Canis lupus familiaris: one gene and its partners. The protein of the gene in region 3 interacts with the protein of the main gene of each other region in a pairwise test. Links are inferred from orthologs where the notes say so. Each region holds a gene or a part of one and is shown on either strand. Other genes may lie near its edges.

Region 1 (4,150 bases), on a different chromosome or scaffold from region 3:
GGAAAAGCCAATTCAGAGGTCAAAAAACGGAAAGTGGAATTGGTTAGGGTTAGGCCAACATTCTCTTTCTTTAGGGAAGGGGGATTGACTAAATTTTTCTCCAAAAGCCTGTCACCTGAGTCTTAAGACCAACAGCCGCACTATTCGCCTTTAACTGCCTGACAGGTGCCCGGTTCTGCTGTTTGTTACAAAAGGTTACCCGAAGGAGAGACATCTTCCAGAAAATAAAGGATAGAGTCCACATTTACTCACCCTTTGATGGGAGGTCCCAGGTTTTGGCACCAAAATGATACGGGAGAGCTTGGTTCTTATGGAGTTGAACGAATCTCCAGGACAACAGAGGGAGCAAAGCCATAGAGGTTTATTAAGCAAGATAGAAAACTCTCAAAAGTGAGAGGGGTCCTGACAGGGTTGCCACTAAGGGCTTTTATGTTTTGTTTTGTTTTTGTTTTTTTAAGATTTTATTTATTCACAAGAGACACACAGAGAAAGGCAGAGACATAAGAAGAGGGAGCAGAAGCAGGCTCCATGCGGGGAGCCCCATGCGGAACTCGATCCTGGGACTCCGGGATCACACCTTGAGCCAAAGGCAGAGGTGCAACCACTAAGCCACGCGGGTGTCCCTATGGTCTGTCTTTTATAGGGAACTGACCAGGAACTTGGTAAATTTCTTATCCATATCAGGGTGGACTTGTATATATCATGTCTTTATTTAGAACAAACATGGTGGACTTGTAACAACAAGATGTTTCTTTGTAAACATCATAAGCACAAACAAGTGTTCCCTTCTCTCTGGTTAAGAGCTCCTCCATATTTCTCTACATCTGGGGTTTCTGTGAGCCTAGTAGCCATTAAAGGGGAACACCCCCTAACATTTTGGAACTAGGGAGCCAGGATTTTTTGGTTTTTTTACGGTCTTACCTGTTTCCTTCGGATGGGTAGGAGCCTCTGGGGCCTTTTGGTGTCCTTGGGGTTTATGGGAACCCACAGATTCCTGGAAGCCTGACTCTAGACCTTTCCCTTATCTTTTCCTACCTAGCCCTGTCTGCTCCTAACTTGTTCCTACATCAATATCATGCAATTGTGAATCACTGAATACAAAGTTTTATATAAACATTTAGGGATGGAGCATATGTTCAGGGAAAAAAGGATACCCTGTTGGGACCCCTCTCTCTCACTTTTGAGAGTTTTCTCTGAAGTGCTATTATCTGCTTAATAAACCTCTATCGTTTTGATGTCCATTTTGAATTTTAAAGTTTTCACCGAAAGAACTATGGCAAGCATATCTTCTTTTGTGTACCAATCATGTGACCTGGGCAAGTCCCTCAAGACTTCCAGAGACGGATCTCTTCCTACGTAAGAATGGCGATACTACAGAACGCGGCTGCTGTGGAGAGTAAACGGGATGGAGGTCTAGAAAGGTGCCCGGCCCGGGAGAGGGGAGCAGGGTGCGGCGTTCCTTCCCCTGCCCTCGAGCGCACGGCTTCCCGCACCTGGGGAGAGCTCCCAAATACCAGCTCCAGGCTGGCCACCTAACTGGGCGTGGGAAGCGACCTAAGCGCCAGGCTTTCCCGCAACGCCAGCTCCTGCCGCAGGGCGGCCGCTGTCCCCACCCCTTCCCGGCGGCCTCAGGGGGCTGCGCGAACTTCGAAACCTAACTGCGCCGGACGGGGTGGGGTGGGCATTGGGCAGGATCCCCGGCGGGGCGGGGCGGGGCGGGGCGGGGCGTCCCTCCGGGCCGGCTCCACCCGGCGCATGCGCAGACAGCGACCTCCGCCGTCAGCGGGAGAGCCATCGCTTCCCACGCCCACCGCGGGAACCGCAGCTCAGAGTCCCCGCGCGTCAGGACGCAGCGCGCGCCGGCGGCCGCCAGGGGGCGGGGCTTGGCGAGGAGCGACGGGTCTTGGCGCCAATCGCTGGGCTGCTCCCGCCTTCGGGCTCGATTTGAAATTCCGCGGAGGGCTAACGGCTCGGAGCCCCGGCTTGGAGCGGGACTGTGGTGCGTGTGCGAGGTTGCTGCGCTCAGCTCCGCGTGGAGGAGGTCTGGGGCCTCGACGGTCGGCTGCTGGGAGCGTCCGCCATGAGGAGGAGGTGCGGGTTGCAGGAGGGTCGAGGGAGCGACGCCTGGCCCGGGAGCGGGGGGCCCCGAGGCGGCCCCGGGGCGCGGGGGCGTACGTGAACGGGCGTCGAGTGCAGCCGGGGCGCGGCCGGCGGGGCTGGGTGGCGCTGAGCTGGCGCAGGTGCGAGGGGCCCCGACGCGGCAGGGCAAGGCCTGCAGTGCCCCGGGCCCGGCGGGGGCCCCCCACACCCCGACGCCCGGGAGGCCCCGACGCTCCAAGTGTCCGCGAGCCCCGCCCGCCCGCCCGCCTGCCTCCCTCTCAGATGCTGCCTCTCGGCTCGGCACCGGCGCAGCCGCTCTTGGTGGGCCGCTCCCTCGCCTCTCTTTAAATAACGCCGTCAGGTCGTTGATCCGCGTGTCCTCCGCGGGGTGGGCTGCCGCGCCAACGTCCCCGACTTGGACAGGGAGCCGGGTTCCCTTGGGAGTCCAGAAACTCCACTGAGGAGTCACTCGCCACGCCGAATGTCCGCTGTCTCTTCACCGGTCTCTGCTCCGTTTTTCCCTCCGTAGCACTTACTGCCCTTTACTGGAAGGTTTGCTTATTTGTCACTTTTTTTGTTGTTATTAGTGTGCAAACTCCAAAAGGACAGAGATGTCACTTTTCTAAAATAATAATACCAAGGGTATAGGGCTTTTGTGTGGAGAGTGGTGAAGACGTTAGCCCTACTTTCTGAAAGCGGTGGGTGAGGCACTGAGATGATTCATTACTGGTTGGTAGTTACTGGTCAGGCTGATCATTCTGTGGCTGTAGAAGCTGCTGCTGCTTCCCTAATTTCGAATTCTCATCGTTCTTTTTCAGGTGGCTTGCCTTCCAGAGAATGGAAAATGAGTACAAATCATGGTACCATTGTAAAAACAGCCAGGGTTTTTTGTTTTGTTTTTAAAGGTTTTATTAATTTATTCATGAGAGACGCAGAGAGAGGGACAGAGACAGGCCGAGGGAGAAGCAGGCTCCATGCAGGGAGCTCCATGCGGGACTCGATCCCGGATCTCCAGGATCACGACCTGAGCCAAAGGCAGATGCTCAACCACTGAGCCACTCAGGTGGCCCAACAGCCAGGGTTTTAAAATTAATGTCAGTAACTGCTGTAATTTATTTATTTTTAAAATTTTGTTTATTCATGAAAGACACAGAGAGGCAGAGACACAGGCAGAAGGAGAAGCAGGCTCCACGTAGGGAACCCCACGCGGGATTCGTTCGGGGTCCCCAGGATCACACCCTGGGCTGAAGGCAGCGCTAAACCGCTGAGCCACCAGGGCTGCCTAGTAGCTGCTGTTATTTCTATTAAAAAAAAAAAAAAAAAAAAGCACATAATCTGCAGTTTGTTTTGGTTTGTGACTTAATTGAAAAACTTAGATATGTTTACTAATTAAGTTAGCTAAATTAGGAGCACCTGTGGTACCTGGGTCCTGGGATCAAGGGATACAACAGACTCCTTGCAGGAAGCCTGCTTCTCCCTCTGCCAATCTCTTGTTTCTCCTCTCTCTCACTCTCTCTCTCCCTCTCTGTGTCTCTTATGAATAAATTAAAATACAAACTTAAAAAAAATTAGCCAAATTACTTTTTACAGAATTAAATGACATGAGATTTGTAGATCTCGGGTCCAATTAAAACCAAAAACCAGGGATCCCTGGGTGGCGCAGCGGTTTGGCGCCTGCCTTTGGCCCAGGGCGCGATCCTGGAGACCCGGGATCGAGTCCCACGTCGGGCTCCCGGTGCATGGAGCCTGCTTCTCCCTCTGCCTGTGTCTCTGCCTCTCTCTCTCTCTCTGTGACTATCATGAATAAATAAATAAAATCTTTAAAAAAAAAAAAAAAAAAAAAAAAAACCAAAAACCAATTATCTGTACAGCAAATGGACCACTAACCTCCAGTGGATAGGTGGGCCACTAACTAAAAGCACTCTGCAGATAGTTGTTAAAATGAAAAGGTTAACCACCCCTTGGATTCTGTTACTTGAACAAATCTTAATGGGCCAGTTGGAAGATGGGTGTTTGGAATTAATAAATCTTCTAGTTCTCCAGTAGTTTT
Region 2 (4,150 bases), on a different chromosome or scaffold from region 3:
TATCTATTCTGATTTGTTTGGTGCCCATGCCAGAAGGAGCAATCACTGTAAGCTAGTGATAGCTGGTGATTAGTCCCCCTCCCCCACTGGCCCAAAATATGTATATAGTAAGTGCTCAGTCAATGACAATCCAAAGAATGAAAGTCTCCATCTGGATTAGAAAACAGGTTGGCTTCAGATTCAACAATGCCCTAGACCCAAACAGTGACTCACAGCTGTGAAATTTCCTCATCTCAAAGGGTGCTTAGAGTTCATTTATTCGAATCCTTTTTAAAAACCTGTGGTTTTTTCCATTGACATATTTAAGTGTTGGAAAGTGGAAAATCCACAAAAGCACAACAAAGAAATGAACTGCTATTATAAATGATTATACATGTGACATTGCAATTATGTACTTAATATGTAGTTATGTGTACATAGTGCTTTGAAACATACTTTTATTTTTATATTATAGTTGCACAGAGAGAGAGGCAGAGACACAGGCAGAGGGAGAAGCAGGCTCCATGCACCGGGAGCCTGATGTGGGATTCGATCCCGGGTCTCCAGGACCGCGCCCTGGGCCAAACGCAGGCGCTAAACCGCTGCGCCACCCAGGGATCCCTGAAACATACTTTTAAAAAGCTTTCTTTGCATTTTCCTCATACTTTAAATATCTTTAACTACATCATTTTTAATGACTGCATTACAGTCATCGGGACTGTGGGGATAATTAAGGGTACCTATCTCAAAGGGTTATGCCATGAGCACTGACCGGAGCTATGTCATGTGAAGAGACCCAGCATTTGTAAAAGGCTAGATAAACTTAGCTCTTCCGCAGGATGGCTTTATATAACCAATCCTTTTTTTTTTTTTTTTTTTTTTTTGCTGAGCATTGGAGTTATTTCCATTCTTTTGCTATGGCAAATAACGCTGGGCTATATTAATCTTTGCTCATATCTTTGGTCATTTCCTTAGTAAAGTTCAGGACTGCTGGGTTTGCACATTTCACAATTTCCCACTGAGCACGTAGGGGAACAGAGAGAGAAAGGGGCTGGCCCGGGCTCACACAGCGAGCTGCAAAGGCGGACCTGGAGACTAGCTGGGGAGCCCAAAGGGCGCCTCATCGTGTTGGGGACCGGGAGGAAGGCCTGGCCAAGGGAGAGAACCAGGCTCCAGAGCGGCGGCGGCCGCGGGAGCAGCAGGCCGGCGGGGCAGAGCGGCGCTGGGCTGGGGGGCGAGGCTGGGCGCTCGCTCGCGGGGCCCAAGCTAAGCGGTCGCCTGGCAACCCAGGCGGCGCGGCGTTCGAACGGAAGCGAGGAGCCAATCAGGATGTCCGGGGCAAACCATTCGGGCGGCGGGGGGAGAGCGGCGAGCTCACTTCCCTTTCCTCTGCGCCCCGGGGACCTCCGGGCCGGCGGGGGCCTGGGGACAGCCTGGTGCCCCGGTCCGTCTCGGGTACGCGCAGCCGCTCGGAGGAGGCCCCTGCGGGCCCCCACGCCGGGTTGGGGCGCACCGAGCCGCCTTGGACGCGGCCATTCCCAGCCCGGGTCCGAGCTGTCAGCCTCTTCCAAGACCCGCACGGGCGGAGCCGGGACTCGCCGAGCTCGGGCTTCAGGTGAGGGGGCGGGTGGTCTGGGTCGGAGGGGGTCCGGTCGCCGAGCGCCTGCTGTATACGTCCTCCCGGCGTCGTACGTGCGGGAGGAGGTGGTACCCCATTTCACCGAGGAGAACGCTGAGGCGCCCGGAGGCAAGTGTCCCATCCCTGGCTGAGAATCCAGTTCACATCTTTCAGCTCCACCTCGAAATCTCCAGTCTGGGTAGACCCAGATTTGCCTGGAGAGGTCCAGACGCTCAACTGGTGGTCAGCTCCTCAGCCTGCAAGGCTGCTATGCCCTGGAGCCCAGGCTGGATCACCTACCTCCTGCGCCGCTCCTGCATTGCCCCCTGGGTGCCCCCTCTGGGCATCTGTCTTCCCTTCTCTAGGACGCCAGAGGTTGGATTCAGGGCTCGTTTGGGGTCCTTCTGCCCACAGGGTACTGAATCGCAGTGCCATCTCAAAGGGCTGTTTTGGGGGATCCGACTGGACCGACGTGTCTTGGTTAGGTGCTAGGTGGGCAGCAGGTGCTTTGGCCCTGGAACCACTGTTAGATTCTTGAGAATCTGCTCCAGGCTGGGGGAAATGGGTAAAGGCAGCCACTGAACGTTAAGCCACTAGTCAGCAGAGACTTTGGAGTTCAGGATGGGGCTGCTGACACCTCTGGCTGGAGCAGCATACGTAGACCAGGCCCTGACTCCTGGGGATGCTCTGGGAACTCAGAAAGAAAATAAGTCTTTCATTTATTCTTTCAACAAATATTTATTGACTTTGTATGCCATGCCCTGCCCTCCCCTTTGTCTATTTTGTTTCTCTCAGTGGCATTTGCCCATCTAATGTCCTCTGTATTTCACTTATTAGGGAGTTGATATCTTCTTCCACTGGAATGTGATAGGAGGAGGGGCTAAGGTGGCCTCCCGGGCAAAATTGAGGGGTGCCAAAACCTCTAATCAAGATAACTAAAGCTAACAGTTATTATTTTCTTAAAGATTTATTTATTTTAGAGAGAGAGAGATGGAGTGTGGGAGTGGGTTGGGGGATTGAGGGTGAGGGGGCAGAGGCAGAGGGGGAGGAGAAACAGATCCTCCTTTTGCAGGGGAGTTCAAGGGGGGAGGAGGGGAAGCTGGATCCTAGGACCCTGAGATCATGACCTGAATGGAAACCAAGACTTGGAAGCTCAACCGACTGAGCCACCCAGGTGCCCTAAAGCTAACTGTTACTATTTGCTGCGTGTTCTGCTGGTAGAGATCAACTCACATGGCCTCTATGGAACACAGTACACCGTCTCTGTCACGATTACAAGCACGTCCTCAGCCCAGCTGTCTCACTTCTAGGCAACGCAATGTAGGTGCAGTGACGCCGCAGGCTGGTTTGTAATAGGGCAGGTCTGGACACACACTAAATGGTCATCAGCAGGGGCTGACGAGCTCTTTATGTTACTGATGTGCCACCACACATATTTTTGGACAACATATATTATTAAGTATATTAATACATATATTAGAATTAATACTATATTAACATTATTAAAACAACATGTATTATTGAGTAAAAAGAGCAAGGTGAATACAGTACACACAGCATGTTGCCATATGTGTACAAAAATAGAAAGAATTTATACTCATTATTGCTTGATCTGCCTAAAATCTCCCTGGAAGGACACACAGTTGTCTGGTTACAGTGGCACCTGCAGGGAGGGGAACTGGGTGGCTGGGGACAGGGGTGGGAAAGAGTTTGTTTTTTACTTCATTCTCTTCATAGTTTTTGAATTTTGAGTCATGGGCATATATCATCTGGTTGCATTATATACATATGAATCATTATAGATGATATATTTGATCATAAGACCAGTGCCCCATCTGTGATCTGTCATTGACTTGCTGTGTGACTTTGGGAAAGTTTCTTCACCTCTCTGGGCCAAGATAAGAAGCCATGATGGCAAACTCAGGTCTGGGAAGAAGGCAGTCCAGGACAGGAAGTGGGCTTGCCCCGGAGTCTACCCCAACCTCCACCTTCACTATCCTTGTGAGCCAGGACCTTCCCTGAGGCTTTGCATGCAGTCTCTGTCTCCACTGCAAGCCCGTTTGTCCTCATTTTGCAACTTCAGGTACACACTGAGGCACAGATAATTGAGCTGGTGGAGCTGAGCTGTCCGCTGGCCGATAGAAGATCAGTGCTTCAGGCGTCTGTGCCCACAGCCCTCCTTCAGTCCGCTCACCTCTCTCTTTCTGAGATGTGTGCAAGTGTGCCCTGGGCAAGGCCCACTGCAAGCAGGTCAGGGCATGAGTGTCTGGGGAGACTCCAGAAATAGCACGGAGCCTGGCGTGGCCCTGGAGGATGCCCAGCTGGGTGTCTCTGACCCGGACAGCTGGGCTGAAATCGAGCTGGCCTGCCCTATTGGCTGGCCCCCTCCCTGCTGCCTGGAGCCTTCCTGATCCTCCTCTGGGGCAGGTGAGGGCCTCCCTGTCTCCACCCAAGTCAGGGCCTGGCTTCTGCCGAATGGAAAGAGCGAAGCAGGTGGAAGGAAGGGGTGGGGTGGGGGGTGCAGAATGTCATGAAAACTATAAACGTCGAAGC
Region 3 (4,256 bases):
GCTATGCAAGCTAAGTCTACAAGAATGGAGAACTTGCTAGAAAAACAATATGAAAGGCATTCCAGAAAGAAGGAATCGCCTTGGCAAAGGTCCTGAGACTTGCAAGAGCCTTGGAGCGATGGAACCTTTAAGAGGTTAATATGGCTGGAGCAGGGGCGCCTGGGTGGCTCAGTGGTTGAGCATCTGCCTTCAGCTCAGGTGGTGGTCCCAGGATGCTGGGATCAAGTTTCACATCAGGCTCTCCGCGGGGAGCCTACTTCTCCCTCCGCCTTGTTTCTGCCTCTGTGTCTCTCATGAATAAATAAATAAAATCTTTTTTTAAAAAAATGGCTGGAGCAGAGGCTAAGAGTGTAGATTTCAATGTGCCTGGGTGCCCCCAAGTCAGAGAATTGCAACTTATTTCCTTACCAGTTTTGGGGACGCAGAAGCAGGAAGACTCAGCCTCCTCTGTCTGTCAGCGGAATGAGGAAGATTCAGGCTACTCCAGGCTCTGCGCAGTTTAAACCAAGTGTAGGGGCACCTGGGAGGTTCAGTGGTTGAGCGGCTGCCTTCAGCTCAGGTCCTGATCCCGAGGGATCCTGGGATTGAGTCCTGCTTCGGGCTCCCGGCAGGGAGCCTGCTTCTCCCTCTGCCTATGTCTCTGCCTCTCTCTGTGTCTCTCATGAATAAATAAAATCTTTAAAAAATAATAAATAAAAAATAAGCCAAGTGCAGAAACAAGGAAAGGGTTACAGCATAACCAAAGGCCCTGGGATGTGAGAATTGTGAACCTTCACCTGTTCACAGAGGGGTCATCATGGCTAAAGCATGGAGTATACATGGGTGCAGACAGCAGGCATTATTTTTAAGGGCCTCGAATGCCGGGTAGAAGAGCTTGAAATGTTTCCCAAGGGCAATGGGGAGTCATGGAGGGTGTGTGAGCAGAAGAGGTGAACAATGAGGTCTCTGTCTCTGGGGCCTGGGAGGGGAAGGGAGTCAAGGGGTGGGTGGCTGTAGAGTCCACGGAGAGAGAGGGGCTGGCATCCCGGTAGAGGGGAGAGGGTTGGGCTGTTATGGAGGGAGATGACGAGGCCCTTTAGAGATGGATGCAGGAAAAATGGGCAGGATGTAGGGGCGATCTGTGCCCTGAGGAATCCAGGAGAAGCAGCAGCTGGCAGAGGAAGCAGAGATGGGAGGGCCGGAGAGGCAGCGAACAAGAGTGGTGTGTTACAATTCAGTTCTTGGATGGTGCTCAGTCATGTGCAAGTTGCTTGTTAAAATTCCCATGACACTGTAGACAGATCCTATAATTAAAGCCCCCCCCCCCCATTTTACAGATAAGGAAACTGAGGCTCAGAGGCGGAAGAGACATGAGATTGGAGGCTGGGGCAAGGAAGGACCGACAGGTCAGGAGCTGGACATGTGTGTCCCACCGGGACTGGAGGAAGCTGATGTCCTTGAGGAGGAAATAGCACAATAACAAGTCACATGACCAGGGGAGGGGGCTTCCTGTTTCCCGGCCTCTCCCAAGCCAGCCTTGGCCAGCCCGGGGCCTAAGCAAGCAGTGGCCAGAGCTACCCCAAGAGTGTCCAGGGATTTGGGCTGCTGACCAAGGTATTCCTAGAGGTACAGAGGAGTAGCATTAGAGCAGGCTGAGGGGACCCAACCCCAAGATTGGGGCCTCCGACTCAAGAGGACCCTGGGGAGGAGAGGTGATTCTTGAAGTCCTCGAGCCAGGTCCAGATTGGGGACCGAGGGGAGCACAGAGGTAGTGAAAGATAAAGGAGGCAAAAGACAAGGGGAGGTGGGAACAAACTTGTGAGGTAGTGAGCTGCCTGTCAGGAGGGGTATTCAAATGTGCCAGCTCAACACTGGTAATTCAAGATCCCTCCCAGCGGGAGGAGATCGATGCTCATTTCATAGAAGAAGGTATTAAGGCTGTCATTCGCCCAGACCAACAAAGACAAGAGCCGAGATCAGGCTGCGGCTTTCGGAAAAAGAATCAGAGGACTGAATTCTGGACAGCAATGAGTGCCCGGGCCACGCGACCCCGAAGCCGGCGAGGGAGGCACGCGCCACCTGTAAGTGCCCCCTTCCCTGCCGCATCCAGCTCTTTGGGGTCACTCACCCCCTCGCCCCCGGCCTGGCTCGGAGCTTGGCCCTGTGGGTCATTTTCAGGGGGAGCTGGATCCCGTGGCGGAGAGTTCAGAGGAGGCTGAGGCAGCCAGCGGGAGCTCTGAGCTGGGCCCTGTGCCATCTCAGGAGAGCTGCGAGCCGAGGCTGCAGGGGCCAGAGGCAGAGGCCAGTGGGCAGGGCCTTGGGAACAGGTAAGGTCCCCTCCGTCTGGGCTCCCACTCCGGCCCTGGTGTGTCTTTCCTCCCCACAGATCTACCTGTGTTCCTCCCTTGCTCACACACACGCCGTAGCTTCCCACTGCCCTCCTTGCCCAACTTTCAAGGCCCCGGATAATGCACCCTCTGTGAGCCAGCCACCCCAGATGACCCCATTTCCAGAACCTTCTGTCTCTCACTTCACCACAGGACCAACAAAGAGGCTGAGGGGGACTCTAGCAGAGGACTGGCCCCATCTCCCGAGGGACCCCGCAAGCCTGCAGAGGAAGGCCACCAGGCCAGAGATGTAGCTCCACAGGATGGGGAGACTGTCCCCCCCAGGCCTGAAGCCTCTGACGTGTTTCAGGTTCTCCAGCATGCTCTGAGCTCCCTGGAGGCGGCGGCGGCTGCCTGGCGCCGCCGGCCCCCCAGCTGTCCTGGGCCCGGGGAGGCAGAGGACAGAAGTGAGGTGGGACCAAGGCCCTGCTTGGAGCAGGAGGGGGCAAGTGGTTGCCAGAGGGAGGCAGCCAGCCTGGCAGAGAGGAATGACTGGCTACGATTGGCCTTGGGCAGCCGAGAGGAGGAGCTGATTCGCACGCAGGCCTCCCTGCAGGCCATCCAGGGGGAGAAGGAGATGCTGCAGAGAGAGGTGAGGGTCTCGACGTATTGTGCTCTACCTCTGAGGGTTCTCTGTCTAAGGGGGAGGCGGGCCTGGCATAGGCAACCTTCCATTGTTTGTTCATTAGAAAAACTCTTACGGAGGGACGCCTGGGTGGCTCAGTGGTTGACTTGAGTTGAGCCTTTGACTCAGGTCATGATCCCAGGGTCCTGAGATCGAGTCCCACATCAGGTTCCCCACAGGGAGCCTGCCTCTCTCTCTGTGTCTCCTCTGAATAAATAAATAAAATCTAAAAAAAGAAAGAGAAAAACTTTTATGGAGCGTTGACTGCTGCAGAGCCCTGAACAAAGGTGCCTTGCCTTCTTAGATAAGGTGGTCAGAGATGCCCCTTGAGGAGGTGACACTTGAGCCAGGAGGTAAGGGAGGAGCCATGCAAGGATCTGGGGAAAGAGCATGCCAGGCGGAGAAGGAGCTCCCTTCCAGAGGTGGGAGTGTGAGTCAGGGAACAGTGAGCAAGCCAGTGTGGGGGTGAGGGGAGGGCAGGTTAGTGATGGGGGCAGATTTACACGGTCTGTGGGCTTCTGGGAGTTGGGCTTTGGCCCTGAGCCTGGTGGGCTCCTGGGGGGTTCCCCCTCGCCCCCCCACCCTCGCCCTCCCGCGGCAGAAAGGGGCGGGACCTGGTGCCGCGGTCACAGGCGCCCTCTGGTAGGCATGGGAGGAACAGCCGGCGGATCCGCGAGGCACTGGTCCAGACACCAGATGGTGGAAACTGTGGAGGTGGCACAAAGTGGGCAGATTCTGGGTGGTGTCGAAGGTGGAGCTGGCAGGTTTGGGTGTGAAAGCCAGAGAAGGGTTGAGGACAAGTCCTGGTTTGGGGGCCTGCGGGACTGGGAGCCAGAAATGCAGGACCAGGAGCTGTTGGGACCCTAATGAGTTCAAGAAACCCCTGAGCCACCCATGTAGGACCATCAAAGACACAGTTGTGGGGTCAGAATCCAGAGCTCAGGGGAGATGTCAGGACAAGAGAAACACATCCCGACCTCTTTAACATGTGGATGGAATCTAAAGCCATGTGGCTGAAGGAGATGGGGGAACAGGCCCTCATCTTGGGCAGGCCAAGGTGGCAAGATATGGGGCCACCAGAGCCCAGCCTAAGGGGTGGGGCCCACTTCCTGGCTGGGAAAGATGATCCCCGCTCCACATTCCTCTCCTCACCCCCACCCACATTCCTCTCCTCACCCCCACTGCCTCTGGCACCCACCACTCTGTTCTCTATAACTGTGAGTTCAATTTTTCGTTTTGTTTTATCTTAGATCCCAAATATAAGT

Evidence for each region.
Region 1: the proteins of USHBP1 (region 3) and PRC1 interact in a two-hybrid assay, tested with the Homo sapiens proteins (2 studies listed by BioGRID and IntAct). The link is inferred for Canis lupus familiaris from reciprocal best matches to the Homo sapiens genes USHBP1 and PRC1.
Region 2: the proteins of USHBP1 (region 3) and FAM110A interact in binary tests that used the Homo sapiens proteins (3 or more experiments, as listed by UniProt). The two-hybrid records come from large-scale screens. The link is inferred for Canis lupus familiaris from reciprocal best matches to the Homo sapiens genes USHBP1 and FAM110A.

The regions. Positions count from the first base shown.
Region 1 is NC_049224.1:53,738,582-53,742,731, forward strand, and holds the start of PRC1 (protein regulator of cytokinesis 1), read left to right. Parts: upstream 1-1,350; 5' UTR 1,351-1,362; coding exon 1,363-1,421; exon of another isoform or gene 1,422-1,689; intron 1,690-1,953; exon of another isoform or gene 1,954-2,080; coding exon of another isoform or gene 2,081-2,091; intron 2,092-2,922; exon of another isoform or gene 2,923-2,937; coding exon of another isoform or gene 2,938-2,960; intron 2,961-4,150. UniProt on the Homo sapiens protein: Key regulator of cytokinesis that cross-links antiparrallel microtubules at an average distance of 35 nM. Essential for controlling the spatiotemporal formation of the midzone and successful cytokinesis.
Region 2 is NC_049245.1:20,607,904-20,612,053, reverse strand, and holds the start of FAM110A (protein FAM110A), read left to right. Parts: upstream 1-1,350; 5' UTR 1,351-1,594; intron 1,595-4,150.
Region 3 is NC_049241.1:45,884,096-45,888,351, forward strand, and holds the start of USHBP1 (Usher syndrome type-1C protein-binding protein 1), read left to right. Parts: upstream 1-1,456; 5' UTR 1,457-1,593; intron 1,594-1,874; exon of another isoform or gene 1,875-1,932; 5' UTR 1,933-2,006; coding exon 2,007-2,060; intron 2,061-2,157; coding exon 2,158-2,306; intron 2,307-2,519; coding exon 2,520-2,958; intron 2,959-4,256.